Drosophila melanogaster: one gene and its partners. The protein of the gene in region 1 interacts with the protein of each later gene in a pairwise test. Each region holds a gene or a part of one and is shown in the gene's direction. Other genes may lie near its edges. The genes, in order: RhoBTB, CG8292 and stum.

Region 1 (13,889 bases):
GTCAAATCGTCTGTGGTAAAGCTTATCGTCAGCGATCGGATGTCTTTGATAGGCACTATTTTCACCTTTTGTCCATAGCGCTCCTCGGCGTAGGGGTGGCGTGGCCAACCTGGAACCTTGACGTTTTTGTTCTCTATTTCGGAGAACTTCTCCAATACCATGCCCTCCAGTTCGTCCAGCGATTCTGTCAGAGATTGATTACTTGCTGGCAGAAACGGCTATACTAAAACAAACCTTTTCCAATGACAGCCAGGCACATTATGTTGGCGGAGTACCACTGCTTGTGAAACTTTAGCAGCTCATCCCGCACATCAATGTTCTTGGACTTGGGTATTTCGGATAGGGTGGTCTTGTTGCCGCTGCCGAACTTGCTGTAGGCATGGTCAGGCTTTGCCAGGTGGCGGTTCACCTGCTTGATGCGCCACAGATCGCTGGGCAGGTTTTTCTCGTGCTCAGAGTTTACCTGCAATGACAGCGTCCTATTTCTGTCAGAAATTTTAATGAATGCTTTCACATACCGCATTGATTTCCCGCTCAGTTGCACTGGGCGTGAACAAGGGGGCTATGAAGAACTGCGCGAAGCGATCTAAGGCTCCATCTAACTTGTCCGGCGCCACGTGAAAGTGGTACTTGGTCATCAGGGGATAGGTGGCGGCGTTGCTGCTTCCGCCGCTCTGCGAAAGGTATGTGGTGTAGCCATTCTCATGCGGATACTTCTCGGTGCCGAGGAACAGCATGTGCTCGCAAAAGTGGGCCAATCCAGGCAGGTTCGTGGGATCAGACATGTGGCTGCCATGGGTATACTCATTAAAAACAAACATTGAGTGAAGATTTGATCTTATTTACCCCACTTGCACGGACAGCGCTGCCGCCGAGACATCTGTGTTGGGATCGCTGATGAGCAGGACCTTTAGTCCATTTTCTAGTTGCAATCCGCGGTAGTCGCGTGTGTCCTGCAGCGACTTTTCAATGTTGTTCAGCCTATAAACGACGAACCATTGCCTTTCGACGACCTCTAAGATGCGTAACGTGCACTTACCTCAATATGGGCTCCATGCTGTCTGGCTTCCTAGTTGCGGACTTTTGCGAGCTTTCGGCTATTGTCATCTTGGGTTTTATAAGCGTGCCAATCGTTCGATGTGTTACTGAAATGCTGGCCCTCAACGCACTTGACCTGTGCGAAATAAATGCGATTTAGTGGTGCCCGTTAGCGGAAATTTGTTTAATTGCTGCCAACCGTCGACCAAAAACCGCTGTTAAGGCAAAAATCGATTTTCTGCACGTAAGATACATTGAGTTTGTGAAATACTCTTGACGACGCTACTCCGGCTTTACGTAGCGCGCACAAGAAATCTTAGAGTGGGAGGAGTAGATTTCCAAGCCGGTCGGTTACACGTTCAATCAATTTTAATCGCTTTTTGGACCGAAAAATAAATTCTAACTAGTTTCGCAACAACTAAAATAGCAAACAATCATCTGTTCGCAGAGCTGCCAACTCACCGCGCACGCAGAACTAGTTTAATATGTTGCCAGATCGTTTATTTTGTGAGTGGTTCCAGATTTGAAATTCCCAATTGGAGAAATTTTACAAAGTGGTAGGCCATATTTTCAAATACGAAAGACTTAATAAGTTTAAAGTGATGATTTTTAATAGTTCTAATGTAACTTTGGACTAAAGTAAGCTGCATATTCACCTTACCTAGGATAGATGGCGATTTCAAAATGTATTTCAAATGCTTGAAATTTTTCCAACGACCATACAATAAATATTGGGCAACCCTGATAACAGTCATTATAAAAATAAATATTCCGTGAATTCCCGTTCTCCGTCAATCTGGCAGTGCTCCGCGCCCAACCGCCGCCGTTTTCCAACACTGGCCGGTTGCCGTCAAAGCGCGTAGAAGAATTGCGGGCTGTAACTGCAATTTATTATTTTTTAATTTCATTTATAGTGCACCTGGTCAGCGAGCACTGGCTCATCCGCAGCCATCCGTCGGCAACCAGCTCGCAGCGATGTTAAACTTGTGCCAGCCGTAAAGATTTCGCGTGTTTGCGAACCACAAACTGCGTCGCCATCGGTGTGTGGGTGCAGAAATAAATGCAAATTGTTGTAAAATGCCGTGCTTTGGTGTGCGTGTTGATAAGTGCAATACGCAAAAGTAAGAACATTGAGGCAAATCCGTGCAATTCGTGCAATCCGTGGGATCAGGCGTTTTCAGAGGTGAGTGCTGCAGTGCTACGTCCGCGGAGATTTATGAGTTCGGGAATTCTGTGCTCTCCCCTTCGGCCAGCAGTCGAAGAATTAGGTTCTAATCAGGTTTTAATTGTTTACCCACCAACATGCGTTTTCCTCGAGAAAAAGTGCAAGTGTTCAACGATTTTTCTCCCCTAAATGGGTCAAGTTTGCCGGAATGTCGAGTCCGAACTTCAAGATCCCCTCCTAAAAGTCCCTTCTGTGCCTCCTTGTGTGCGAGTCTGAATGTGTGTGTGGTTTGGTAACGGTATTTGTGGCCGTTTTGCAATGGCACGAGAAAATCAATAAGCTGGCAAAATTGAAGAAAGGAGACTTCCCAGACATGGCAAAACAGCGCAGAGTTTGTTAATAATGCTAATATGCTGGCGTGTTCTGCGAATTCTCGCGAATCAAAATGTCTAATTAAACCACAGGTTCACACCTCGCATGAGAAATAAATTGGAACCAGTCCCTAAATAAACTTTGTTTTTATTTCCCAAGATTATGGTTGGTGCAAATATTTTACAATGAAAACTAAGAACATACCTTTTAAAAACTAAAAAATACGATCTTTCCATTTTCAAAATACCTGATATCTTCAAAAACTAACAGTTGTTTACCTTCACAACGTCTTCTTTCTTTGTTTCTTTGTTTTTGCTTCACTTTGCTTAAGACTGGGCACTTAAATAATATATTTTAAAAATATTTCTACAAGGAAATAATAAAAATAAAAACGGTATTTTATAGTAGTTATATCAGACATTAATTTTTCAATATTTGAAGAATATTCTTCCCTCTTTAACCTTCATAAAGTCAATTCAAATGGCTCTAAATAGATTGAACACATAAATTATAGAAAATCAAAGCAAAAGTGGAACCGATTGCCATGTATTCCAGAGGTCAACGATCCACAATATTGACAGTAACTTAAAGTCTTCGCACGAACAAAAGACTTTCCTGTGGAGAACAACGATCGCTTCTGGCGACCACTTGAAGTACTTTCAATTGCATGGTTATTGTTTTGGGTTTAAAGCGCGTCCCAAAATAGACAGACTGCAGCTCGTCGAGAAGATCGGACAATGGATTGCCATGAAGCGTGGGCCACGCAGGAAGAAGTGTGCTCATTGCGACCGGAGGATTGAAGGCAGATATATTTTTAGTGCAGCCCAATTAAGTTCAATTAGAGGTTCAAAGAGAGAGAGCGAGCTTATCGCTCCGTATCCGAGGTACTTACTCCAACTTCCTCCGCGACAAGTGGATCAAGTGGGGGTCAATGAATTGGCTGGTTTTATAGCCTCCGTTTGCGGGATCCAATAGATTTCTAAGTAAATGATACGAAGCTGGTATCTGATTTCACTATAGTTATTTTCACAGTGCGCAGCGAGTAAACAAACAAAATTGCCTATTGGCGTAGATCAGTTATTCTGGCTTTACGTATAACTGAACGTAGAAGTGAATTTTCCCAGTGCGTAGATTATTTCAAACTATGTATTTCTATTTTGGGAAGCACTTAGGTATCTAGATTAAAATCAAATTAATCACGTGATGAAACCATTTTGCCTTCACACAAAACGTTAATGCAGACGACACTTTGTGTAACTTAGTAATTAGCAGGTCGATTGTTAGTCGAGAATTTAGCATCTGCTTATCAGAACTGAAAAACATTAAGGCAGCTATTCTACGTAGTTCACTTATTTATATTAGAAGGGGTGTCAGCAGTTTATTTTATTTTCAATATTTTCATTTATGTATGTTTTCCTCAGGAGAGACCACATTTTATTAAATCACACAAAAATCCAATACTATTTTCATTTCAGATTCCATAAGCTGGTTCTGCTATTTGTGCATGCCCAAAATGGACAACGAGCAGCCGCATCAAGAGCTAGTGAAGTGCGTCCTGGTGGGGGACACGGCCGTGGGCAAGACGCGACTGATCTGCGCGAGGGCCTGCAACAAACACGTCTCGCTATCTCAGCTCCTCTCTACGCACGTGCCGACCGTGTGGGCCATTGACCAGTATCGCATATATAAGGATGTGGGTTACCATTCTCTCAAGAGTCATAGTTATTGCATTTAACCGAATCCATATACATTAAAGGTACTCGAGCGATCATGGGAGGTGGTCGATGGAGTGAATGTCTCACTTCGCCTATGGGACACATTTGGTGACCACGACAAGGATCGGCGCTTCGCATACGGCAGGTGTGTAGAGCTCATGTAGCAGCATTTTCGCCATACGAATCAATAAGATGCCTTCTTGACCTACAGATCCGATGTGGTGCTGCTGTGCTTTTCCATTGCCAGTCCGATTTCCCTGCGCAACTGCAAGATGATGTGGTATCCGGAAATTCGCCGCTTTTGTCCGGATGTTCCCGTCATTCTAGTTGGCTGCAAGAACGACCTGCGCTACATGTATCGCGACGAGAACTATCTCTCGTATTTCGGCGAGAAGGGAACCTTTGTTCGGTATGCATAGCTAGCAGGTTTCAGCCGGTTTTGAGTGGCTTTCACTTTTTAATGTTGTTCTTTAATCAAATCAATTCAATTATTCACCATAATTTAATTATATTTAGAACACACGAAAGATATAATTCAATGTTTAGCCCACTATAGCAAATTAATCTGTTTATATGTTCAGAGATATTCTATTTAATTGGATTAAATTAAAGGCAATCATTACTATAATCTTTTTTTAAAGAGCCGCGTTGAAGAGTGACCTGGTTATGCCGGATGAGGCGCGTGCCGTCGCCAAAGAGCTAGGAGTGGCGTACTACGAGACCAGTGTTTTCACATACTTTGGGGTGAACGAGGTGTTTGAAAACGCCATCCGATCCGCGTTGATTGCACGCCGACAGCAGCGCTTCTGGATGACAAACCTGAAGAAGGTGCAGAAGCCCCTGCTGCAGGCGCCGTTCCGGCCACCGAAGCCACCACCACCGGAGGTCACCGTCATGGTCGGCAACTATCGGCAGGACATCTACAACATGTTCCTGTCGCAGGCCTACACCGACCTCGTCCTGGTCGGGGCGGGTGGCACCAAGTTCGCCGTGCACAGGTTCATGCTAGCCGCCGCGTCCAGCATCTTCCAGCGCCTGCTTAGCACTGAGCTGACTGATATGGGCGGGCGGAGCAGCAGCGAATCTAGCATGGTCAGCTCAACATTCGGGGAGGCCACCATTGCGGACTTTAACGATGACACGGAGGCCCTGATCCGCTACGAATCACGCACACAACGGTGGGTGCTGCCTCCCGATTGCATTGAGCCCATTTGACTTTGAATACATTTTGCACCCACAGAATGTGGGAACACTTGAAGCGCCGCTCCAGCTACCAGGCGTTGCCTCTCATGGAGTCTAAGCGGTCCAACGATTTGTACAGGGAGCTGCATCATCCGGTCCTGCAGAGCATTCGCCTGGTGCACGTGGAAAACCATCGGGGTGTAAATGGTCTGCAGACGATTGTCACCCTTAGCAAACTTATCTCTCCGCAAGCTCTGCACCAGTGCCTGAGATTTATTTATACCGGTACCATTGACAAGGATTGCGATAATATCGAGGTAGGAAATGTTTCAATGTATTCTGTGTTAAGTTTGACCTACTAATATATTGTTAATTCTCACAGGAAATTCGAGAAGCTGCCGATCTATTAGAACTGCCGCAACTGACTCAGCTACTTTCCAGGCCTCAAACCGTTATGGAGAACTCCAGCGATGAGCCAAATCCGCACATTTGCCTGGTGAGCGCATTGATGTCATGATATCTATTTTATGATCCTAACCATTTTCTGTTACATACATTAGCGCATCAAAGAAAGCATGGAACGGCATTGCATTGGTGACGGGTGCTTCAGTGATGTCACCTTTGAATTGGACGATGGCTTAATGAAGGTACATACATATGTCTGTTGAATTACTATATGAAGCACAATCGTTTACACTTACCTTTGCTGCATTGCAGGCACACCGCGCTGTGTTGGTTGGTCGTTGTGATGTCATGCGCGCAATGTTGTTAGGCGACTTTCGCGAGGCTCATTCCAATGTGGTAGGAACGGGCACAATACCCCTTAACTAAGGACAGTTGTCATAAATTTCCTTTACCTTAGATCGTATTCCCTGGCGTTACCATTTACACATTCCACAAGCTGCTGTGCTATTTGTACACAGACCAGATTCCGCCAATCTCGGCCGTCAAGTGCCTCAATCTGCTGGAGCTGGCCAATAGACTCTGCCTGCCGCGGCTGCTCAACCTGGTTGAATGCCGCGTTATTGAAGATCTCACTCTGATTTCTCAGAACGAAACCAATGAAACGGTGGATCACTGTCTAAAGCTGCTCGAGCCAGTGAAGGTACACATAGAGAGATCAGTTAAAAATGATATACCGAAATTCAATACTTTTCTTTTTTTTTCAGCTGCACAACGCACATCAATTGGCCGAGTGGTGCATGTCATACCTGTGCGTCAATTACAACCTTATTTGTAAGTTTTCACTCAAGGGCCTAAAGGCGCTACACCAGGATAATCAGGAGTACTTGCGCGAGCACCGATGGCCTCCAGTCTGGTATCTGAAAGACTATGATTACTATCAGCGATGCCTGAACGAGCTGAACAAGGAGCTTAAGCTAAAGACTTCGAGGCGGGAATCGCCTAGCGATGACGAGGGCTGTCTGTGCTTTACGGGCGGTAAGTGTTGCTACATTTACGGAACTATCTGCTCCACATCCCACCACACTTAACATCCCAGTCCAATACTCCAGTCGGAGGATCAGCTCAGGTTTTAGTTTCAGCTAGCTTTAGAGGACAATGTATGTATCATGACGGCGGTTTGTATTCGTAGCTAGGTGTCTCGTTATTGTTTTCCTTTCCTGTTGATTTCCTTGCTCATTTACAACGACAACGCCATCATCATAATATTAATGTCCGAAATTTGGTCAAAGTATTCTCTTGCTGGCTGTTAGGTAAATCGAAGCGAAGCGCTGATGTGAGTGGAACCACGGATAACAGCAACGCAGATAATCAGATCTTCAACAGCGCCGGCAACTCGCTCAACCACATTGATCTGGAGGCGGACATGGACCTGAATCTCTGACACCCAGCCCTAGGGCAAGGAAGGTGTGTTGATATTAATGTCAAAGTAAGGATTCTTCGATATTTATGATTTACTTCGATACTTTGATTCCAGATCACTGCGCTTCATTGTGATCCTGCCGGTCCTGATCTGTTTTATCTGTACGATTTTAAGTATTTTGATACTTTTCCAAATCCATACATAACAAACCTCAAGGGCACGATTTAGAGTGGTCGGGGAGATAAGGGTTGGAAATGGAGGGGGCGTGGCGCGTCTGCTTTTGACATTACGCAATATATAGAGCGCAAATTTGCCTTAGTGATTAACGATTAATAAGTCCAACGTAGCTCGACCCAGAACAAGGGAGCATACTGCAGAGTGCTTCGGATTTCTTATATTTATACGCCTATATAAAACGCAAAGCATAGACGAGTATGTATGCACATGCACCTCGGCGCTGCGAAGCATTTCGCTGTATTGCCTTACGATATATCGGTGTACACTCAACTTGTTCTGCACGATCCCTCCCATGGAATGTGGACAGCCGAAGGACGCAGACATGTGTATATCCATATATTTGTACCTTTACCTAAGACATGTATGTATGTATATTTTTGAATTCCTACTTACGGAAACATTTGTCTAGCCATAGCTCTAAGCAATTCTCTACGATAAGGACGCATTTTGTACAGAATGATAGAATAAAAAAGCAATTACGAACAAATCTCACGTTTCTTCCTTGTAATAAAAACGCATTTTACAATGTAATAAATTTAGAATTATAACAGTTCACATGCCATTTAAAAAAACACAACATTTATATCGCAGTTTTCACGGATTTTACACTGGATTGCGATACAGTACCATCCTCCACCTCAAGATCCTGCAGCATGGCAATCATCTCCTCGTCCGTAATCACAACCTCCGCCCTTAGGTTGTTATTAATATGTGGACTAAACGTAGCCGGCGCAGATTCTCCAGCCAGTTCACGCAATTCCTGCTCAAGTTGATCATCTTCCTGGCTCGCGTTCTCCACAACGCTATTGGACATTATGTCCTGAACTTCCCGATGCTGGTCGAGCGTGTCCCGCACATCGGCCAATACTTCGTCGACATTGTCGTACTTCAATCCAGAATTCGAGAGAACCTTCTTCAAGGTATTTGATCCGATCTTGTAGGCATCCAGAACAACGCCACTGTTCTGGGCCTCATCCACACTGGACAGAAGAGATTCGATGTTGTGCAGGGCAAGACTGCGACGTTCTAATTAGAGAATTTTCAAAGAACATTATTCACAAAAGCCAGATAAGGGGTGTCTACAATAAAGATTACCATGATTCTTTTCCAGGAGATGCCTTTTTCGTAGATAGGTTTTTGCCATTTGCCGTTTGTTCTCCTTCATGTACTGGCGCACTTTGTCATCGTTCACCTTGATCTCCTCCTCTAGGTCCTCCAACTGCTTGAGTAACTGAGCTTGGGTATTCTGAAGATTGTGGACGGCCTGGTCTTCTTGGCTTATATTAAGATCGTCGCCAGGTTTTTCTATAACAAAAATTATAGTTTAATAATACATACTAACTACTTGAGAACCTTTTAAACTTGCTTGGTATTTTGATCAAGTGAATTTGGCGTATGCCTTTTTCTACTTTAAATTCTAGGCCCAAGATTTGACGAACATTTAAGGCCAACAGGCAAGCGCATAGATCTTTGTCTGAGTAAGTGGGAACTCCGTGAGTCTTACAAAGCGTTTTCAAAGCATTAAAGTGCAGTAGTTTTCCAGTGTTTTCCGACAGGACTTTTTCGGCGATGAGATCGCAAGTGTTCTGGAAAGTTAATTATGTAGGATTCCTATAATCATTGGATGATATCACATACGTTTAAGGCATCTAGGTGAATCCATTCAATTAAAGCGGAGGCTTCCAGGTCCTCCGTCACCACGCTGTGCTTGATTTTCGACCAGCTCCATGAAAGGGGGCGCTTTACCAGGCTGTTGACGAGCCAACCACCCCAGGAATTGGCCGGATCGTACTCAAATTCACTGCGAGAGCGGATCTGCTTCCTCTGCTGCATCTCGGATATCACGGTGTCCAGGCAGGCGGGCAGTTGGTCACCCCTCATGAACAGCAGTTGCAGATCCCGCAGGCTGAAGATTGGTCGTCCGCTGAACTTTAGATATTTTGCAATTAAATCCATCCAGAAATTCATTTTTGCGTCGTAGCCCTCCGCATCCAGATGCCTCGATCGAAACATGGCGAACTGCACCTGCATTCTACCGTTGTCCTGCCAGCTTGCGGGAAAGCTGAAGTGGTCGGTTTCATTTACCCTGTCACCGCTTCCAAGGCCCATATTTAAAACAAGAATTTAATCCGGATCATAAAAATTGCGCGTCTTTTGTGATTGTGTGTTTATGTCGAATCAGCTAGTTTCTGGTGTTGCAAAATGATTGAATGTATACAAAGCTTGTAAACAAATTTTAAAAGGGGCCGTTAATTTAATGGAATGCTAATCAAATGAGATACTTTTTTTTAAGATTTTTACTTAAAGCTAATAGGTGCACATAAAATGTGTGGGAATACTCAATTTAAAATGTAAATTTCGAATCAAATTTTTAAAAATAAATTAAAGATCCAATTGCTAAATTAAAAATTTGTAATTTAATTTAGATACTGCTTGTATTGTATACAATTTAAGACAAATTCTACCGCTTACCAACACTGCGCTTTTCGATAAGCTGGATATCGATTAACTTTCTCCACATCGCAAATCAGCTGTTCCATCCAGGCTACTAGATTAAAAACTTCTGACGAAAATTTTGTTTTGAAGCTTTTGTTGAGTGTGCGTGGAACTCGCCTTGGCACTGGAGCGTACAGCACCATTCCAGAGGACTCCGGGAATGCACGGAACACGTAGCTAACTTGGCCGCCCCAGGATTCCGCAGCATCAATGAGCAGAGCAGCACATCCCAGCCCCTGAGACACGTTCTTGGCCACGAATTCCCGCCTAGATCTCCTCGCTGCCCCTGAAAGGCCCCCGATTGCAACATCTGTCGGATCATCTTGAAGTGCGTGCGATTCTCCGGATAGTCCATTGTTCTGCGGTGAACTGACTCCGTTCAATTGAGTCTTGCAATTCATCATGACGGAGGACGAACAGATTAACCTGCGCAATCAGTTGGCGAGGGGTAAGTGGTGCTTTCGCAAGATTATGGAAGCTTGCATCTGCGTCTGGCAAATACCAAAAGCAATACAGAAGGAGTTTTAATTCACTATAAGTTGTTAGGAACATATAGATTTGAGAAGGAATTGGGGAGTTCATATAAGTTCAAAAAGAGATAAGGTATTTAAACACGAACTAAGTTCTCAGAAGACTATCTCTGATTTATACAAAAATATATCTAACAATTCAATTGTTCGACTTGATAAATATGGTTGATTGTTTATAAACTTTCTAAACCTATTTTTAGTGGGCAGCTTTGCGGTTGCGAGATAAACACAAACAGTGATTAGAAAGTAATCACATGATGACTGAGAGCATAAACTCGAATTTAGATTTAGCGATGTTAATTTAGCGGGATAAATTTCTAATAACTGTTGGCCTAATTTAGGTTTTTCATTTTAAAATTATTTCTGTTATATAGTAAACAAATATTCCAAGCAATGTGTGCTTTTAAATTCTTTCATACGTTTATTATTGCGAGCAAGGTTGAGGGTTTATTGACTTGGTTTAATTCTGTAGCTTGACCACTTTTTTAGTGGCGCGAACTGCCTGCTAAGCAAAAGCATGCATATGTGATAATATTTTCTGGTCTGTCACAGATATGACTAACGTCACAATGACTGCCAGCTATTTACACAAAACCAGTGCATCGAAATACCCTACTCGTATCGCTGCCAGATTTCATGCTCTGTGGGTACACAACACCATGAATGATAAGATTAACTTATAACTCGCGAAACACATTTGTCCATTTAAGCTATAATCGAAATCAGTGTCTGCACTTGCGGAATGGCTAGTAGTTTTCCCCAAAGGCTAGTGTATGAATGATTGCCATCTCGGCTCTCTTCGGACCACAGCTTTTTCGGGCGGGTTCTCCGCTTGGAATTTGAACCATTTGGGACCGCGTTATCAGGGCTCTTCACACTCTTATCACGCCTGCTGCGCCTGCAGAGAGAGTGTTGTGCCACAAGGCACAGGTTCGGTCATGAATGGCCAGATGATTGACTATGCATTGGCTGGGAATTTTACCAAGTTACCCACGGGCCAGTCGCCGAGGCAAATGCAAAAGCGGACGGACGTAATGGCGATCCACAGACGTCGTAGGGTTCACAGTGGGTCGACGCTGCTCTGGCAGTGTTTTAAATGTGTTTTCGTAATGATTAAGTTCGGTTCGGCTCGCTCATTAATGCGGTGAGGCTATATATGTATGGGTGTCTCCCCCTCCACGGTCATATACCCACTACACATGGCGCTCAGTTCGTTTGGAGCTGCTTATACATATGCGAAAGCCGCAGCGCGTCCGCCGCTGCTGCTGTTGCTGTCGCGGCTTCGGGCAGTAAAATTTCATTCAAACGCGTTTCACGTCTGTTTTCGAACGGTCAACAACGGATGGGATCGGATCGCATCGCATCGCGCGATCACCAGTTGTCGCCATCGCCATTTAGAAACCTATGAATTGAGCAAACAAACATCTTTCGCGGCTTTCGTGGCCAATGGTCCAAATCCAACAAGCTTCAATCCACTCCACACTCCACAATCCAACTTGCCTGTGATAAGTGCCCGCCTCTGAACTTGTAAATCCGTTGTGTGTCAGCGAAACGCTAAGCTGTAAAATAATCAAGCAAATAAAATGAAAGTCCCCACGCGCAACTCGAAATACTCATTCAATTTGAAAATATTCAAGTTGCATAACGATAAGAAACCGACCAGCCCCAGTCCGCCAACCTCACCTGTGATCTCAGCGAAACGAAACTCATGGCGCGCTTCGTGGCGCTCAGCTCTGGGTTCCAAGAGCAAGTCCATCGCCATGGCCTCGGATAGCAGCTCAGATCCCATCGATTTGGAGGCGGAACCAGTGTTTTTCGAGCACAGCAGGTGCAACAGCTACTGCTCCTCGTCCTCCGCCTTCACCGAACTACCGCATCCCGCCATCCAAATTCCCCAAGGCGATGAGCTTATGTGTAAGTTGGCGGATAATATGTGTTCAGGTTTTGGGATATCTGATTGGCCAAATCCAGTCTCCTTCGTAAAAATCGTGCTAAATCGTGCTTAAATACGCTTTTAATTCGCCTGATTTGAGGAATAAGATGGATTGAAATGCGTCGCATGATATAAGTAAATTCACTAAAACCCTAAAAAACCCTTAATATGATTTTATTTAATATGATTTTAAGGCCACAATTAATCCCATAGTCAGTGGCCATCGGTATCGTCCAATGAACCCACAGCTAGTTATTTAGTATTTAGTATTGTAGGGAATAATATTTTAACATTTGCCTAAAAATGAAGTACTTGGCGAGAAGATAAAAACCGCCGGCCTCTTGACTCCATCCAGTTTATAGTTAAGATTGTTAAATTCTGAGTAATGCATTCTGAAATAGACCTACACGTTAAACAACTGATTAGATAAACGTCCTGGGGGATCTCGCGATTTGCGGATCGACAAGTGAAGATCGGACAAATTCGGTTGAAGTGTACACCTGTATTATAAAAAAAATTGCTTGAGCCCGCCAAACGGTCAATTCCCTGGTCAATTCGAGCAATACCAGCGCCCGATAAGCTGCGTGCCGTGCCCGGAGGGCAGATAAGAAAGGTGTGTTTACCCGAGCGCGGCGCACATGCGTTCAGTTCGAGTCGATTGCTCATTTCGCTAGTGTTCAGCTGTTTACGGCTAATATATTATCCGGCAGCCAGTCAGTCAGTCAGTTGGAGCCATCGACGTGTCGCACTTGCCTGTGGCGCCCGAGTGAAATGTTTCCGGTTTAGGCAAACCAACGTAGTATACAGGCGCACTGTGCTCGTAATGAACCCATAGCCATATACTGCCCGAAACGAAACCCAACGCAACGAATCGAATTGAAAGCGCCGTAGTTCCGTGGAATATATACACCTCGACATACGCGCTGCCCGGGTCTCTGGGCTGGGCTGGTCTGACTGACTGGAGAGTCAAATAAAATAAAACGCGTTTACCAGTGATTACACGTCGGTGTTATGTGCAGCCGATTCTATAGTCGAGCGGAATAAACCAGCAGCGCCACAGCTCCAAGGGTTACACAATGCCGGAGGCGCTACACTTTACATCGATCTTTGATCTCATCATCAAGAGCGGTGCGTGCACTTCCAAAGTCCAATTCGGTGCGAAGACATTGCCAATGCGGGGAAGCCTTTGGTTTATTACAATATAAAAGCATTCTGCTTAGACGATATCCACTGTATCCGATAAGTATACTCTGTGAAGTACCCTCGCCTCGATAAAGCAACCGTTAGCAGGCAGCAGTGTGACACAGTTTGGCGTCAATTTGATCTTGACACCATGAGCATGAACCGCTTTCAAGCATTTAGTTTATTCATTTAGCTAGCCTTTGGCGTTCGATTT
Region 2 (6,208 bases), on another chromosome or scaffold:
ACATGACCAAAGAGGAGTTCAAAAAGATGAAGTCAGAGCTGGAGGCGTAAGTGTCAATTAATCCAAATAGTCATTTTCTTATATACTAATGTACATCTTTACTTGCCAGTGAGTACCTAGCTACCTTCAAGAAGACGGTGGCCATGCACGAGGTTTTCCTGCGCCGCCTTGCTAGTCATCCCGTCTTTCGCGTCGATCAGCACTTGAAGGTTTTCCTGGAATACGACCAAGATCTGTGCGCTAAGCCACGCAAGAAGATGGCCATCTTTGGCGGCTTTGTCAAGTCCCTGGGCAAGACCACAGACGAGATCTTGTTGAGCGCCACGGTTCGGGATGTAAATGACTTCTTTGAGAACGAGCTGCAGTTCCTTACCGAGTACCACGGCCACTTGCGCGAGGCAGCACTCAGGACGGAGAAAATGACGCAACGCCACAAGGATGTAGGCGACTCGCATCAGAAGATTTCGAATGCGTTGACGCAGCTCTCGACTACGGAAAAGGGAAATGTGGAGACGTTTGTGGCCAAGACAGCGGAGATATTTGAAAGGATCAAGGTGCGCTACGCTGCGTTTTCGCTATAATTATATTTTATAAATTTTCCTCTTGATATTTTAAAGAATCTGGAAACCCGAGTGGCTAGCGATCAAGATCTCAAGCTGGGCGACACTCTGCGCTACTATCAGCGGGATAGCGACGCTGCCAAAGCTCTACTTATCCGGCGACTGCGGTGTTTGGCTGCTTATGAAGCGGCCAATCGAAACCTGGAGAAGGCTCGCTCCAAAAACAAGGATGTTCATGCGGTAAGATTGAGGGATGATCACAACTAGTTCTTCCAGAACTATGTTTCAGATCGTTTAAAGAGCAATTGTTTTCCCTACAAAAAGTTTCCAGCGGGTCAATTAATTCTCACGCTTCACTAATTACAAATAACAAATTATTTGCGTTCTTGTATTTTATTGCTACCGTACACAACCTCACAACTCTCTGATCTGCCTGTCCCTCCCTCTTCACTTTTTGTGCGTGTTTGTGGTTCTGTTTCTGCAGCCGTTGGAGGTGCAAGAGGTATTTGGCATTTAACGTTTTAACCGTCGGTTTAGTAGATGTGTCGCCACCCCACGTAAATGCTGCATGCGCTCCACCGTTGCTCAATCTGTTGTATTCACTTTAGCATGCCCTTGCTGTGGCCCACTTGTTGTGTTCCCTGTATATAATCGTTTTTGTTTATCCTCCAATTAGGCCGAGACTGCCCAGGCGGAGGCCTGTGAAAAATTCGAATCTATGTCTGCATGTGGAAAGGAGGAGTTGATCGGTTTCCGCAACCGACGGGTAGCTGCTTTCAAGAAGAGGTGAGTCAGCAGCTGCTAAACATTTTGCTATGCTCTGCATTTTATTATCGCTTTTCTAAACACAGCCTCGTCGAGCTCTCAGAGCTGGAGATCAAGCATGCCAAGACGCAGTATGAATATCTGCGCCAATCACTGCTAGCGCTCAAAGAGATTGCCTGAGACGGGGAGCCGGAAGTAGACAAGGAATAGAAGGATGAGTCACCCGCACATTGTTTACACACCCCATTGAAACGCAAGCCTCATCGATTACACACATCCGGGAGACGAAGTAAATCAATTGTTTAATTGCTAAGCAAACAGTTTATTATTGCACAGGCCAAATCGAGTGCAACATTATTATCTTAGCCCACGTATTATATTAACGAATATTCATTTGTTTTGTGAACAGAGCGCTTTTATATTTGTCAAACAAGCATTCCTCTCTACAGCATAAACTACAACTACATATATTGTAAACACTTGCATTTGAAGCAGAATATAAACGAGAAATATTGTACAGAAGGCTGGCTGTTTGTGAGCAGTCAGTATACTAGCATTGTTTGGAGTCTATTCGGTAACTGGGCAACATCAAGGGTTTCCAAATTAAGCGTCTCAAGGGGTGCACATTTCCATTGTCGCTGAAAATTGTGTTTGTTGTCAGTGTTAGATAGATTTTCAAAGTCCATAAGCCATGGATGAGTTCGGCGTCTTCGATTACAAGCGCCCTGCCAGCGCTACAGATCCCGATTGGAGGACCTCGTACTATCGAGGGCATCGCCACATTACAGACTTGAGAATGGGTAACAAGCTGAACGCCAAGTTTACGGATAAGGGTATTTATGTAAAAGATCCGCTGCTGTCCGAGAAGCCGACTTCTGAGTGCATGGCCAACTATGTGTGGCAGGTGAGTTGATTGATATGCTGAGATATGTTGCACCAAACTAAAACGTGACCATGATGTTCCAGTATAACGATCCCAACGCACTTAGAAATCCCTCGCTCAACATGAAAACACAGTATATGAAACCATTTGAGGAGGGTTCCCTTCGCTTTGTAAAGCGAAAGATGAAGCCCATTTCTAGTGTCAGTCATGAGTCGTATGTACTTAAGGAGCTGCCGGAGGAACAGGAAATATTGCCTGTAACAATGCCCACTCCGGTGGTAGCCACCAAGCTAGTCATCGACCGTTCGGAGGCGTCCTTTAGCAAGTACCTTGATCCCTCCTCCACCACATACAATCTGTCGTATGTGCGCTGGGGTCCCGAGGACTTGTGTGGCGGAGTAGCTGCCCACGACAATATTACATACTGGAATTGGACGGAGAAGATGCCGCCCATCCAGAAAGTGTCCCGCGAAGAGGATCCTACAATGTGTGACGAGGGTAATACGCATAATTGCCCAAAGCGACGCTGTGAGTTTCAAAACCTCACCAAACGAGTGCCGCATTCGGGAATGGTCACCGAGGTGCGCGCTAATTTCACGGATCCACAATTTCGAAGGGTTGAATTCGATCCAGAAGTTAAGCCCATACTCGTGCACGAGGAAGTCACTCCGTTTGCGGAGAAAAGCGAATACGGCATCTACGGATCGGGAGAACCAGTTATCAAATACGTTTAGTTCTCTACACATTGTTTTGACTTTTTGTCAAGTTAATCAGATCGCTAACTTAAATTATTTGCAATACTTATTGACATTAGAACGAATAATTTTATTGCATTAAATAAATTCTGGATATTATTTAGATGAAAATTTCATTCAAATGAGTTAAAGCTGTGGGGAAGCAGATGGTAGGCGGACGTGACCAGCACTTCAGCTTCGTCCGGAATTGAAGGAATGCAGTTCTCTTGCTCCGGCGGCGGAGCCTTGGCAATGTAGATAGGAATATCATTTTGGATGAACTCCAAAATGAACTGCCGGCAGACTCCGCAAGGTGTGGTAAACCCATCTGGGTGATAGGCTACCACAGCACCCGCCGTATACTTCTTCTCGCCCTCGCTGATACCCTTGGCCAGGGCACAACGCTCCGCACAATTGCCTGGAGTGAAAGCTACGTTCTCGATGTTGCAGCCCGCGTAGATCCTGCCGCACTTCGCACGGAAGGCTGCTCCCACTTTGAATTTGCTGTAGGGCGCATAGGCACATCGACGGGCAGAAAGAGCCGCCTCTAGCAGCTCCCGGCCATCCTCACCTGGAGATTACGGTTTGATTACCAATGGCAGAGGATTCACCATTATAGCCAAGCCTTACCAACAGCACAGAACGCTACTGTGTACTCCTCCAACATCTGTGGATGTGGCAGGTTTTCGGATTCACTAGCCCGACCCCTGTCGCCATTTAGACGCGCCTCCCTGCGTGCTAGCTCGCATAGAAATCCCTCCAAGGTCATCATATACTTTCCCAGTACCTTTCGAAGATTCTTCTGGCGCAAGTTCTTGATCTTACCGCCAGCGCACTTGGTGCCAGATTGCTCCTGGCGACGAGCTAGCTTCGCCTGCAACATTTCCAGTTCCTTCATCTTCTTCTCCAGCTCTTTTCGCTTCAGCTCATCCTGTAGGTCGCTCAGGTTCCGCATGTAGCGCTGAAGGAGCTTCCGCTTTTCGGACATTTTGCAGAACTTCAAATTTTTAAAACGAAAACAATTTTTGAAAGCCAGAAGCAAATGCTGTATCTGTTGGCAATTTGTAAAACACTAATGTCAAACAAATTATTTTCTTTTTGTTTCTTTTTCATAAAAATGATTATATTATATTATTTAGCGCCATTTGAATTTTTATTACATTTATTACAGTTGATGTTCATTAAGGCATTTAATGAAACAACAACAACAACTAAATACGTTTAAAATTTTTACAAATTAAGAATGTCGAAAAAGCTCGCGCGTTTTCGACGCGTTTCGGACGCGTTTTGAACGCGCCTTTATCGCGACATCGGTCTAGCCAGTCTGTCTTATTGTTCGTATGAACATCATGATCTCAAAAACTAGAATCCAAAGGAATTGGAAACAAACCTTATAAATTTGATTTAAAAGATTGCCACTACCACAATGATCTTTCTTATTTTCGCTACTATACAAATGGCGAAATTTAATCTCACAATAATTTGGTGTTTATGAATCAGAAGTTGAGTGCATTTATCACGTCATCACAAATCGGGGCATTCCCTGCATTGCGCTTAACGTCAGCAGTTGTCAATCCAAATTCGATATCTTTAATTTATAACCTTAATTTTGATATATAATCAAAAGCGATTAAACACCTTTTCCTAGAATCTTTCACTGTGTCAATCTTTCCAGCATTTATATCCCCATTTCCTATTCATTGATCGAAAAAAAAACATTAAACACTGCTAAGTAGTGTAATTTTCTTTATTGCAAGTGATTAGATCAAAATTATATTGATTAGAGGCAGCAAGGGGTTGAGAAACAACCTTTACCTAGCTACCTTCTGCCTATTTTCGGTTCTTGCCTGCAGTGGTCGTTACTTTCGATAGGTGTGAAAACTGCTCGGCAACAGATTAAAGATTGAGGTGCACATGACGGGATCGTCACTCTGCAAAAGTTCCTGCTTTTCAGCAATCCTCGCATCGATCGCCTGGGCCACATATATGGGTATATCCGCGTTGGCAAACTCGCGTATAAACTGACGACAAACGCCGCAAGGAGTGGTGAATACATTAGGTTCGTAGGCCAAAACAGCACCTGCCAAAAATTCGGTGGCTCCTTCGCTTACGGCCTTAGCAATGGCCGTTCTCTCGGCACAAGAGCCCGGCGTAAAGGCGGCGTTTTCCACATTGCAGCCAGTGAAGATCTTTCCATCGACCTTGGCCCGAAAAGCAGCCCCAACTTTGAAGCCACTATATGGAACGTATGCCCGCTGGCGCACTTGAAAAGCAGCTGTCAGAAGTTCTTGAACCGACGGATCTGGAAGTCGAAACAATGCACGCCACGCTCAAGAATTAAACTTAGATCTTGTCAATGAGTGTAAGGAGTATTAATTTATAACATTATTATTTTTAATATCATAAGAACCACTTTGAATAATTGACAGTCGTAGATATTTAAGGATTGTTCTCAGATTGTTCTCAATCTCGAGAAGGAATCTTACCCAGACTGCCGAAGGTCACAACCTCCTCATTCTTTTCTGGACGTGCGAAATTTTTTGTCAGATGTGTCATTATAGTTCAATTCTTTTGGTCAATAGAGGCACGCCTATTTTCTTAAATTTTGAATTATTTTTAGCAAGTTGAGTGCGTGTGTTTCTCCTTTGAACGTCCGATGGCAAATGGACGGTTTGTGGTGACGGCGGCGCCCGAAGTTGGCTATGCTGATAGCACTCTCCGCCGTGTAGTGGTGACAGAAATAAACATTTGGCCAATTCGGAGCGCGAGAGAGAACCAGGTATCAGGCTGATAAGCAACGATCGCGATCGCGGAGAGCAGTGAAAAACACAAACAGATGCCGTATCTCGTATAAGCTATTCAATCAACAAATAACGAGGGGTGGGTTTACAGAACATTATAAATGGGATGTCACATAAACTATTGCACATGGATTGCACCCTGTCCGGCTGGGCTGGGCTGGGATATTCTTTTCTATTTTCCGTTGGCGAAGCTAAAGCCGTTGGGCAGCAGTTGGAGAACGCTGGTGCAGAGCACCCTCAATGGAAGATTGGTCGGCTTGGCGGCGTACAGGGGGATGTCCTTGCCGTTGACGAACTCCGAGAGGAACTGCCGGCAGACGCCACAAGGCGTGGTGAAGCCATTATCCTGCTGGGCCACCACTGCACAAGCCACAAAGTCGCGTTTGCCTTCACTGTAAAAATGTGTTATTTTAGTTATTCGAAAGGACTTGGAGAGGATAATTAAGTATGTAAGAATTTAAGTAA
Region 3 (10,931 bases), on another chromosome or scaffold:
GGATCGGCGATAAAGCAGTCAAACAGGGGCTTGGAGAAGAAGATCAGAAGTGAGCCTGTGATGAAGGAGATCTGGAACAGGCGTGGATTTCGCTGAATCCACGTGCGTTTGGGTAGCACAGCGGTTCGCCTGCGCTGATTTGCTTGCTGTTGCTCCTTTTGGTCCAGCAAGTCTTGAATTTCCTTCGGAGGCCTATACTGCGGTATGGACATTATTTGTTCCTGCAAAACGAGTTGATAATAGTGTATATGGAATAGAGAAGTTGGCTACAACTCACGACTTGCCGGTTGCGTTCTTTTCCTTGGATGCGTCTGGTAGATAAGTCTTCTCCAAATCGATTCCACTGCAGCAAAGCGATTCCTTGTGCCACTTTAAACAGCACTGGCGCATTGCCTCAAGGACATCCAAGCACTTGTCCTCCTGGTAGTGATTCTCTGTAACCGAGTGCAAGTCAGCTTACATAACCATGAAAATGGAGTCACCGGCGGTGCTTACTGGTCAGACAGGCTTGTATGCGGCAGGCGTTCGGTTTGCAGGGATCCTTGCGAGTGTCAGACATGTAATCCTGCCCAGAATTCTTACGATATTAAATCGCTCTTGCAATATGTGAAAAGTACTTGGAAGTGTTCTGCACTCTTCTTCTTCTTGGCGGTTGTAGTCATTCACAGTGCACGATCAAGGTAGCCAGACTGCGCGACGGTCAGCTGTGTAGGAAACCTAATACATCAAAGCAAAATAAAAAACAATCACATAAATAACAACAAAAAGAAATAACATCTCTTATAATGTACAAAAATTTTTAATCTTTCAAATTTTGATATTAATACCTTTTGCTTCCCTGTGAATACCCCGCCTGCTGCGAGAGCAACTGCCATTCACCCATCGACGCCGACAGTTGGGCACCAAGGAACTGTTCTTGTGTGAAAAACACACACACATTTGTTTTATTTCACTAGGACTCTTGACGATTACTTCACAAATCGGAAAATGCCATCGAAAAAGAAAAAATACAACGCACGCTTTCCGGCGGTAAGTTGAAACCACCGATTGGCGACAGGAAAGCTCCAGCCATTTGGCGGCCGTGAACGCCGAAGATGGGTTATCAGTTTTCGTGCATGTGTACATACATATGTACATACACGCCTCGCATAATCAGAGGCTCAAAAGAAGTAGAGGAGAAACCAAACCGGTGCGAGATTATAATGTTTCCAAACCATTACCATAAACTCCTTGCAGGGTCGCATCAAGAAGATCATGCAAAGCGACGAGGAAATCGGGAAGGTGGCCCAGGCGGTGCCTGTTATCATCTCACGCACGCTGGAGCTCTTCGTGGAGTCGCTGCTGACCAAGACGCTGCGCATCACGAATGCGCGCAACGCCAAGACGCTATCGCCATCGCACATGAGGCAGTGTATCGTATCCGAGAAACGCTTTGACTTCCTCAAGGAGCTGGTCCGCAACATACCCGACATCAGTGTGGCCGAGGAGGCCGCCTACAACGAGGACGATGTGTTACGCAGCTCGCCAGAGGAACAGTATCCAGATTCAGACACGCCATATGATCTTAGCCTGCCATCGACGTCAATGCGCTCGCAGGCGAACGGCACAGCTGCCTACATGCGCTCCATGAGTCTGAACAACGGAGCCGGATCGGGCGGAGGAGCCGCAGCCACCAAGCGGCAGTTTCAGTCGCAGCACTCCACCCAGGAAACTCCCACCACCAGCACCACCCTGCCCGCCAAGCTGGCCCGCTCCGGGTCCATGCCGGCCTACACGCCACGGGGCAGACCGCCCAATCACCTCAAGAAACAGTCGGTGCAGCTCGATACTGCCATACCCGCCCCGATCTGCAACTACGAACTCAACAAGCCCATTGTCAAGATCGACTACAGCCACGTGCAAATGCCGACGGCGAACCTGTGCACACCGGACGCCTCTGATTCTGGGTCAGGATCGGGCGCCGGATCTGGAGCTTTTAACTTCGACATAGCTGCTCCGGTGATCAATATCGATCTGACGAATATCGTGGCCGGTGGAGCACCTGGCAGTGGTGTGCCCCCCGCCTCTATTGGATTACCAGCGGCCACGCCGGGGGACAACAATAATGTGAACCAAATGGCTGGAAAGAGCAGCGCTCCCATCATTCCAAAGGCCACAGCGGCATCAGCGACCCCCACTGAAACCGTTTTCGAATTAGACGAAGACTATGACAATATTTGATTAGGATCTATGTGAATGCGCTTTTAAATTATTGATACATTAATATGTACTCTAGGTCTAAGAAATCACAATAACATTTTTTGCAAAATAAAGACCATGCTGGATTTTAAGCTGACGCAATGCGGAGTACTTTAAATAGAGAAAGAAAATTTATACATTCTAGCAGATAATGCTGTTTAATTTGCATACGATATTAAATCAGTTTATCTTTGAATTAGATGTACTAAACAAGTTCAACAATTATTGAAAATGTTTGCATTCATAGACACCATAAAAAAGCCGCCTCTGGGCGGCCGAAAGTCATTTATGCCCATCCCAGAGGCCAAGTTAGTTGACGATGTCGTCAGCTACATCGCCAAGCCAGAGTTCTATTCGACTGTTCCAGCGGCATTGAAGATGCAACGCCTTTTCTATGTGCAATACAGCGAACTGGCTGCCAAGTTGGAGACTGACCTCACAGCAGTGTTAACCCGTTTGGAGGCTGCCAAAAATAATTTGGAATTGGTGAGGAGGTTCATAGACAATCCTGACAAGGAAGTTCACAGCCTCGTGCAAATCGCACAGGGAGTATTCAGATGGGTGAGCATACCGCCAGTGCAAAAGGTTACCCTTCAAGTGGGCGCATCTCTGCAAATGGAATTCGAGCTGTCCGAGGCGGAGGAGTTCATCAAAAAGGACATCACCAGCCTGGTGAAGCAGCAATTGCAACATGAGCACGATATCGACTATCTGCAGGATCAGGTGAACACGATTGAGATGAACCTAGCCGTATTGTATAAACATGAAGTGGAGAACTAGAAGCATCCCACCATCCTTAAAATTGCTAGTACCTTGTAGTTGCTTATAAAGACATTCGTTCTAAATAAGTCTTTATTGTCTAAATGCCTTAATTTCCAACGAAGTACAGCTCTCCCTTGGAGTTCCCCACTAATTCATTCATTACAATTACATTATTAGCAGCCCGGTAAAGAGGTCAGAGTATCGGGACCGTAGGATCCCAGACTGTGCCCTACAAAATGTGACCTTTATTACCGAGCTCGGCTATTTACAAGCCTATACACATCATAATAATTATGACTTAATTTCGCCAGGGAGCACCGCTTAGTCATTGTGTAATCCTCGGTCACAGCCAATTACAATTGAATGCCTTTCAATCCCATGCCCATGCCTTCGTCCAGCTGTTACTCCAGCCCTCCGCATATTCGCACACGCAATCTGCCAGCCACAATTGATATTAATTTGTGCCCGATGTGGGTCAACCCATGATGTAGACTCCATTCCCTTCCAAGGATACCAAATTATATGGCAAAAGGACAAAACTGACCAGCAGATGAGCCACATATCGCGTGGGAAAATCTTATTGCAAGCGAATAAAATTACCCAACCGCTCCCAGTGAGCAAAGGTGCAGTTTTGAATTATATGAATTTTCATCCATGGGCTTGGCACACTAGATTAGGGTCAGCACTATTCCCGAATTTTGATTAGCCAAGCCCAAAGTCGAGATTAGATTGCTGCGCTCTCTCAACCAGATCAAGTGAATCCGCCAAAGAGTTTGGGCTCGGCTAATCGAAGCCCCTTCAATTGGGGGAATCAGATCTGCATCTGCACACCTGCACTCGTGGACTCCACGCTGTCCACCTGTCTTGAGTCATGGCGCAAAAAAAAAAGAGGTTAGAAACAATAAAAACAACTTGCGGCGCGCCGCCAGTGCCAAGTTTTCATGTCCAAGGCGTATTTATGTCAACCGGAAGTAGGTTTACTGACCCACGTATACCCGTGTGGCTGGCCAAACGTGGACTTCGGCTTTCTTCGGTGGTTTCTTCACCTAAACCCGACTGGTCAGTTGCCGTGGAGCTCCACGGCGCAGGACGATGTATAAGAAGGTATTTGCCCACGGCGGATTAGTTTTTCTACGAACGGCGAGTGCAGTGCATCGGATCGATGCAAATGCGCGTTGAATTTTTTGGGTATTCAGTTTTTTATTTGAAAATCTCTCACCTTTTTTTTTATGACAATAACTCTACAAGTAACGGTGCATTAAAAATTAAAACCAAACTGCCTAAAATCGGATAGAAATCGTCGGATATATCGCAAACATTAAAAACTTCCAACTCGGTTGTGTAGTGAAAAAGCCCAAAACAATTAACTCGTAGATGTCTCTAGGAATTCCCCGACTTGTGACTCCGTGTGACTCCACTGGGGGTTCGAGTTGGACCCCACAAGGGGCGGGTTTTTGGGGGCTAACACGACATTAGCCAAGGATTTCTCCGGCACTGCCACTTAAAAGTCCCCCCGTTCCGAGGGATTCGTGGCTTTGGTTTGGGTGGTCTGTGTTTGCACACATACCTGTCTTTAGGCGTTATTGCTGCCACTGCCGTTGTTGTCTTGATGTTGCAACAGTGCCCGGCTGGCCAAGGAGTTCGTAGCTGCGGGCCAAGTGTTGTTGACTCCTAGCCGCTGCACAAGGCAACGCGGAATTTGTTGCGGTTTTGACCCTATTCCAAAGCCAAGGAAAGTGCAGTGTACTCGCCGAGGGTCTTATACTCACTCAGTCGAGTGCAGGAAAAGCGTCCTTCTGCCGAAGCCTTTTGCAATATTTATGGGCAGAGACACCTTTCACACAGTGATTAAGTGATCCTAATTTTTGGGCGACGCATAACTATTTTTTGACATTCTAGCGGATAAAATATTCAAACACTTAAAATAAGGATATATTTACTTTCAATACTAAATCAATAGGCGTATTTTAAACTGATTTTTTTGAACACAGTAAAGGAAAGTTTTTATTAATACCTATCATTACGTTCAATCAGAGCTCTTATGTGCAATCTCCAACTCCATAAAACTGCATTAAAGTGAAATGAGCGAAAGTGTTCATTGAAATACATGCGTGCATTCAATAGATACAAGTGGCATTAAAGTTATGAGGCATCCCGAAAAGTATGAAAAATTAGCTGACTGAGCTTCTCGGTGGCAGGCAGTGCGGCGTAGAAGTACAAAAGTGTTGGAACATCGCGTGCCACAGACATACCAACAGGTGTCACAGCCAGCCGGGGGAAACTGGGGGAAGCAATCAAAAGTTGTCTAAGAGGCAGAAAGAGCTGAGAAAGAAGCACACGCCGCACAGATGAACACAACGACATGCAAACGGCTAATGCAGCCGCCTCGCTAGGCGGCGAAATGCGGAAAACTCGCGGAAAAGTCGCGGCGAATTGGCGCCCCCGGTCGCCTTTTCTTTTCGGCTTTTCAGTTCGCCAGTCTCGATATCTCAGCGGGTCTGCGTGTGCAAACTGTTGGGGCACCGAGTGTGTGTGTGTGTGGGGGGGGGGGGCATTGTGTGCTGTTTTGGATTTGAAGTGTAGGCAATATTTCTCTTGAAGGCCTCCATTTTGCTCACTTACCGCTGGTCGGCCATCAGTTTAAGTTAGGCAGCGGCCACGTTTCGTCGCGTTTCCATTATTTGTTGCGGCTTTTCAGCAAATACATTCTATTTCCGAATTAGACTAAACTTAAAACCCAAATGTAAATTATATAATGCGCTCCAGGACCAAACTAACACAGTCAGTGTGGACGTGGCAGGTATTAAAATTCGTTATTCAAGTGTGACCGAGCGTTAATGAGATGCAAGAAAACTGCGTGTAATGCGGCAAGCGATTAAAAAACCAATTCGCAAATAGGAAGCTTAAGCCGCCTGGGAGCCGGCCAACTCCCCCAAAACGCGTCATGGCCAAAACAAAACGAAAGGAACGAAAAGGAGCCGGCCAAGTCACTTCCTTTTGGCCCAAAGTGTGTCACCGAAATTCGAGCGGCGGGCCATAAAATGTAGGTTAAATATTAGGCAGAGGAAAATCAATGCGAACAAAGGCCATTCATTCACACCTTTCCTCCACCTTCCCCCCCAAAACCTTCATGGGCTACGTCATTTCGCTAAAATATCTGCGTACCCAGCCGCACAGCTCCAATTAAACCATCGCCTTCTTCTGGTGATAGGATAGTCTCAGCCCGCTGGCTTCCACATCTGCCGGGTCGTTCGACTTCAAGTGCAGTCACTAATGCGGCAATTTGCAACATGCAACGCCGGTGCAGCCAGCCAAGCCGAAGCCATCCGCCCAAAAGCAAATCCCCATCCCCATTCCCCCCATTCAAGCCTTTGAGGCCTCCTCATCAAGTTATGCTCTCGTTAGCGCCAAGACAAGCGTTTGGGAGTTGGGAGTCCGACTCGGATTCGCATATAGCAGCAGGTGCATGGCATACCATAACGATTCCGATTTCAAATCGGTTTGGTTTCGGGGCGGCTTTATCAGCGCCTCGCACGCAGCTATTTATAGTTGAATGTGGAGTGAAATGGCATTAGAAAATAAAGCCGTGCAGTAATAATTACTCTACTATTTTTGCCACAACCAGTGATGGAAGCGGACGTATCCGGGCAGTTGTACCTAATTACTTTTTTTTAATTGCTGATGAATTTAAATTACTTTACTCAAGCTATTAAAAATTTAGGATATTTGAAAAAAGTTACTTGGTATGAAGACAGAAATTACTTTTATTATTATTTTTAAAAATTCGCCCAGGTAAACATACTCAATACCCTTTTCCATCACTGCGAATTGGCAATGAAACCGGCAGCCCTTCAGTTTCGCTCTCCGGTTTTTGGGACTGCCTACTCCGTGCTCCGTGCTCCTCGTTCCGTTATCCGTTCTCCGCCGGTGAAGGCGTCGCGTGTACGTCTCTCTGACATTGCAAGAGGGCCGGAAGGTCTCGCTGGTCGTCTGTCTGTGGAATCAAAAGATGTGCGCACATGGGTGTTGTGAGTGATTTTTAAATACATTCTGTTGCTTCGAATAAACAGCTCCTGGCGTCATTGGTTTTGTGGCACTTAAACTAAAGCGAAGGACGAACGCGGAGTGTCCTGCGTGGAAATCGGCTTCCAACTACTGCAACCACGACTGAATTTCGCAAAAACGCTGCAACAATGGATAGGAAATCATAGTGAATGCATGAGGGCCGAAGATCGGTTAGCACCCATGTCAAGCCATGCAGCAGACCCTCTCGTACTCATCATCATCGCCATCCCCATCCCCGATGCCCATGCCATCAGCCTCAGCCGCACAGACGCCGCCACCGAACCCGAATCTGACACCGAATCTGAACATACGTCCAAGTACGAACCCAATACCACGACCCAGATCCACTGGAGGCGAGTCCGCGTTCCAGCCGGCCATCATCCCGGTTGATTATAGCTATCGCACCCATACCACCCGCTCCATTCTCTCCGCCCAATCGATGGCACCCTCCACGTTCGCCTCCAATCAGAGCTTTGTGCGCCAGCCCTCGGAGTCGGATGCCCAGCCGTATAGTAGCCTCTTTGGGGATCCGGTTCCACCGCCTCTGCAGCCGGATGATTACTTCGGAACAGCAGCATTTGAGACGTTGCGAAATGGGTCTGTGGAACTGCCCAGCTCCGAGGAGGATGCGCTGGTGGCCGCCATGGCGCTGAACGCACTTATTCCTGCGGCCAGGGAACGCATCTTTCCGAGTGTCCCGTACTCGAGGACTCCCCGAGGATCCCTACTGCCTTATCTCCAGCCACCCGACATCCAGATTCTGCCCAACTCGAGCGGTGGCTCCAGTTCAGAGCAACTGGGCTCACCTAACTATCGGCTCCTGGCCCCCGATGACATTCTGAACAAGCCGGACGTTTATGATTTGGAGAACGAGGTCGAGGAGTACACCGTAGTCGGTCAGAGAATGTCTTTCGATGATGAGGAAGATGAGCCGACGAGGACTCCTAGCCAAGCGCCCGCCAAGTTGAGTGTGTCCAGCATCACGACGGAGGACCACAGGGGGTTGGTATTTGAATACACCAATATATTATCCAAACTAATCCTTCGTGATTACCTCCTCTTAGATTACTCAGTGACTCCTATTCGGGAAGGGATTGGTTCCGTCCGGCGCCACAGCACTTTCCAGAGTTCACACGCATCCCACGATTGCGGCCCAGCTCCAAAATGATTATGTCGATGAAGCAGGATGAAGGACCTCTCTCCCCACTGGCCACCATGATCCAGGACATGAACAGCTCGAGCAGCGGCGGAGAGGAGCGAGTGGCACCCAACCAAAGCAGGCCCGTTAGCAGGGACGTTGTACTCTCACCGAAGCAATATCTGGAGGAACAGTTGGGTCTGGAGAGAGGTAGCCAGAGGCAGTCGCTGGAGGACTATAGAATGCCACCTCCACCGGCAGACCCGCCCCCTTTCCGTAGAACTGACTTGACGGAGCAGGATGACAGCCGCAGTGTGGAGCCTGAACATAGCTTAAAGCGGGAAATGTCCCCAGTTATCATCAGGGATTCAATACCTATGGGCGGAGATTATAGGTAAGGTTATCCTGTGGAAAATATCCATAAAGATAATACATATATTCAAGTTTTTCTGTCCCCTCTAGAGTGGAGCAACCTCGTCCACACAAAAAGACTGCTTTCACGATACTTTCCACGGGACAGGCAGCTTCTTCTGCTCCTCGGCCTCCACAACAAGCTCCCACCAGAGGAAGACACGCCTCCATTCAGTCGACATCGACGACTACCTCATCGCCGGCCGGCAGGCCTCAGATCAGTCCTCGACGGAGATCGATCTTTGGCTCAGAGCCGCGACTGCCTGAGCTGCCCTCCGCGCTGGGTTACACCAGTCACCTCGTCCACCAGACCACGGATGACTCGCCACGCCCATCGGTTCAGTTCAATATGAGTGGACGCCACAGTCGCAGCAAGCTGGCCATTCCGCAGAAGGGCATTCTCCAGCAGCGGGACTCGCTGACCTCCTCCATCGACACCTTCACGCCAAGAGCCCAAATAAGAAGGGGTTCCATTGGCAGGGATCCCATCCGCAGCTTGCCCTATGGCCAAAAGATCAAGAGCATGGAAACACTGCCCCTGATAAACGATCAGCATCGCAGCTCCATTCCCCGCCTGCACTACGGATCCACCATGGATCTGAGTAGGCCGGAACCTGCTGTTTTTCCGCCCGGAGCACTGCCGCGACCACTGAAGCCAAATCTGAATCCCACGCGAAGGCAACGCGGTCTCCTGAAGATCATTAACAAGGAGGAGTCGCTCACCCACAACCCGCCGCGTTCCAACTGGTGCAGTTTGGATGACCTGAGCCGACCCTCCTTCGATGGCACTCCCAACCAGGCAAGACGTCGCTCCAGCTCGACCTCACCGGAGCGTCGCAGTTCCACGCAAACGGTCTCGGATCGAAGAAGTTCCAACCTGAGCAGCGTCACCGCCACCACCTCGGATTTCAGTTTCCGCCGACCAACGCTCTCCACACTGCCAGCAGCTCAGACACTGTCCAGAATGCGTCGGAAATCTGTGCAGGCTCTAAGTCCGAATAGGATACCCAACAGGATACCAAGCTTTGGACAGCGAAGGCAGTCCATCTATCAGAGGGATCAGGAGCCCAAGCCGTTGAGCAGGCACGGAAAGATCGCCAAGCCGAGCACTCTGTCACCCATAATTGGAACCCCAAATAAGGACAGCAGTTCGGCACAGAGTCCAAACCACAGATCCTCGCTGATGGCCGATGCGGTGGATACCCCATCCGAGGTTTCCACGCGACGGGACTCGGTGTCCCGCATACCGGTTCGCAAAAGTCCAGACTCACGCTCCAGTTCGCCACCCAAAGACTTTGGAATCCCTGCCTCTGGACGAAGCTCGCGGGCTAGCATTACTAGGTCCCCTTCCAGAACCATGAATGCCGGCAGTCGATCCCCTTCCAGATCCATGCATCCCAGCAGAACGTCCTCGAGGGAGAGTGGAAGACCTGGAGACTCGAGGTCGGCATCCAGGGGCCCACCTTCTAGGCCTGGTTCCCGATTGGATCAGATCGGTTCCCGAATGGATCGGCCCAATTCACGCTTGGAAAGATCCAGCTCACGCGCTGAGAGATCTAGTTCCCGGGCGGATAGGCCCAGTTCCCGTTTCGATGTGTCCAACTCGCGGGGAAACTCACGTGCAAACTCGCGACTGAGCATCAACTCTTCCTCGCTGCGGTCGTCCAGCATTTCACCCGCTACCATGGCCAGGAACAGGAGCATGCGTGCCACAACACCCAGTCGCCGAAAGTCCATCTCCTTGAGTCCAGCCAGTGCTATGATGGGTCGCCGGAAATCAATCAGTCCCGATGCCGTTGGTCAAAACCGAAGAGTTTCTAGTCGGGGTAAGCCCGAGCCTCCAGAGATTCTATCTCGAAGGAACTCCCGCTCGCGCATTCCCACCAGATCGACTAAAGTTGCCTCCAAATCCCCGCCGTCTTCGTCCAAGAAGAGATCGAAATCGCCGGAGAAACCCAAAGCGATGGGATCTACGCCCAAGAGCAACAAAGTTGGAAAAGGGGTAACCGCTAAAGGAAGCCCCAAAGCGAAGCCGAAGATCGCTGCAAGTGCCAAACCAAAGACCAAGACGGAATCCTTGATGAAACCACCAGTGAAGAATGCAAACAAAACTCCTGTAAATGGTAGACCAACCACAAATGCAAAAAAGCCAGCCAGCAAGGCGATTTCCACAAAGGATGCAAAAGTGGAGAAGGGAAAGGAGACTGGGAAGTCTGTGGCCTCCAAGAGCAATGGTAAAGAAACCGAGTCTTCAGTAAAATCCAGTAAATCCCAAGTCACAAAAACTAAACCACCTGGGGGAACAACATCGGAGGCC

Evidence for each region.
Region 2: the proteins of RhoBTB (region 1) and CG8292 interact in a two-hybrid assay, tested with the Drosophila melanogaster proteins (one large-scale study listed by BioGRID).
Region 3: the proteins of RhoBTB (region 1) and stum interact in a two-hybrid assay, tested with the Drosophila melanogaster proteins (one large-scale study listed by BioGRID).

What each region holds. Positions count from the first base shown.
Region 1 is NT_037436.4:20,374,381-20,388,269, forward strand, and holds RhoBTB (Rho-related BTB domain containing), read left to right. Parts: upstream 1-1,861; 5' UTR 1,862-2,221; intron 2,222-3,361; exon of another isoform or gene 3,362-3,459; intron 3,460-4,050; 5' UTR 4,051-4,079; coding exon 4,080-4,268; intron 4,269-4,331; coding exon 4,332-4,435; intron 4,436-4,501; coding exon 4,502-4,699; intron 4,700-4,931; coding exon 4,932-5,468; intron 5,469-5,530; coding exon 5,531-5,789; intron 5,790-5,854; coding exon 5,855-5,968; intron 5,969-6,032; coding exon 6,033-6,119; intron 6,120-6,189; coding exon 6,190-6,273; intron 6,274-6,334; coding exon 6,335-6,577; intron 6,578-6,641; coding exon 6,642-6,912; intron 6,913-7,166; coding exon 7,167-7,318; coding exon of another isoform or gene 7,319-7,341; intron 7,342-7,411; coding exon of another isoform or gene 7,412-7,502; 3' UTR 7,503-8,018; downstream 8,019-13,889. Other genes in the region: Ide (insulin degrading metalloproteinase), read right to left, coding at 1-184, 235-463, 519-789, 847-981, 1,040-1,107; CG5498 (uncharacterized protein), read right to left, coding at 8,115-8,560, 8,630-8,839, 8,901-9,120, 9,173-9,643; fbl (fumble), read left to right, coding at 12,144-12,474.
Region 2 is NT_033779.5:8,213,708-8,219,915, reverse strand, and holds CG8292 (uncharacterized protein), read left to right. Parts: upstream 1-1,898; 5' UTR 1,899-2,016; coding exon 2,017-2,229; intron 2,230-2,291; coding exon 2,292-2,942; 3' UTR 2,943-3,065; downstream 3,066-6,208. Other genes in the region: Snx6 (sorting nexin 6), read left to right, coding at 1-46, 110-554, 618-800, 1,045-1,062, 1,237-1,346, 1,412-1,505; CG8349 (uncharacterized protein), read right to left, coding at 3,077-3,513, 3,573-3,930; CG8353 (uncharacterized protein), read right to left, coding at 4,802-5,244, 5,429-5,498; CG8360 (uncharacterized protein), read right to left, coding at 5,916-6,135.
Region 3 is NT_033778.4:21,669,260-21,680,190, forward strand, and holds the start of stum (stumble), read left to right. Parts: upstream 1-5,641; 5' UTR 5,642-6,043; intron 6,044-6,814; exon of another isoform or gene 6,815-7,070; 5' UTR 7,071-7,255; coding exon 7,256-8,067; intron 8,068-8,129; coding exon 8,130-8,597; intron 8,598-8,665; coding exon 8,666-10,931. Other genes in the region: CG42379 (uncharacterized protein), read right to left, coding at 1-212; CG42381 (uncharacterized protein), read right to left, coding at 212-221, 278-434, 496-559; NC2alpha (negative cofactor 2alpha), read left to right, coding at 988-1,029, 1,237-2,220; CG15676 (uncharacterized protein), read left to right, coding at 2,470-3,018.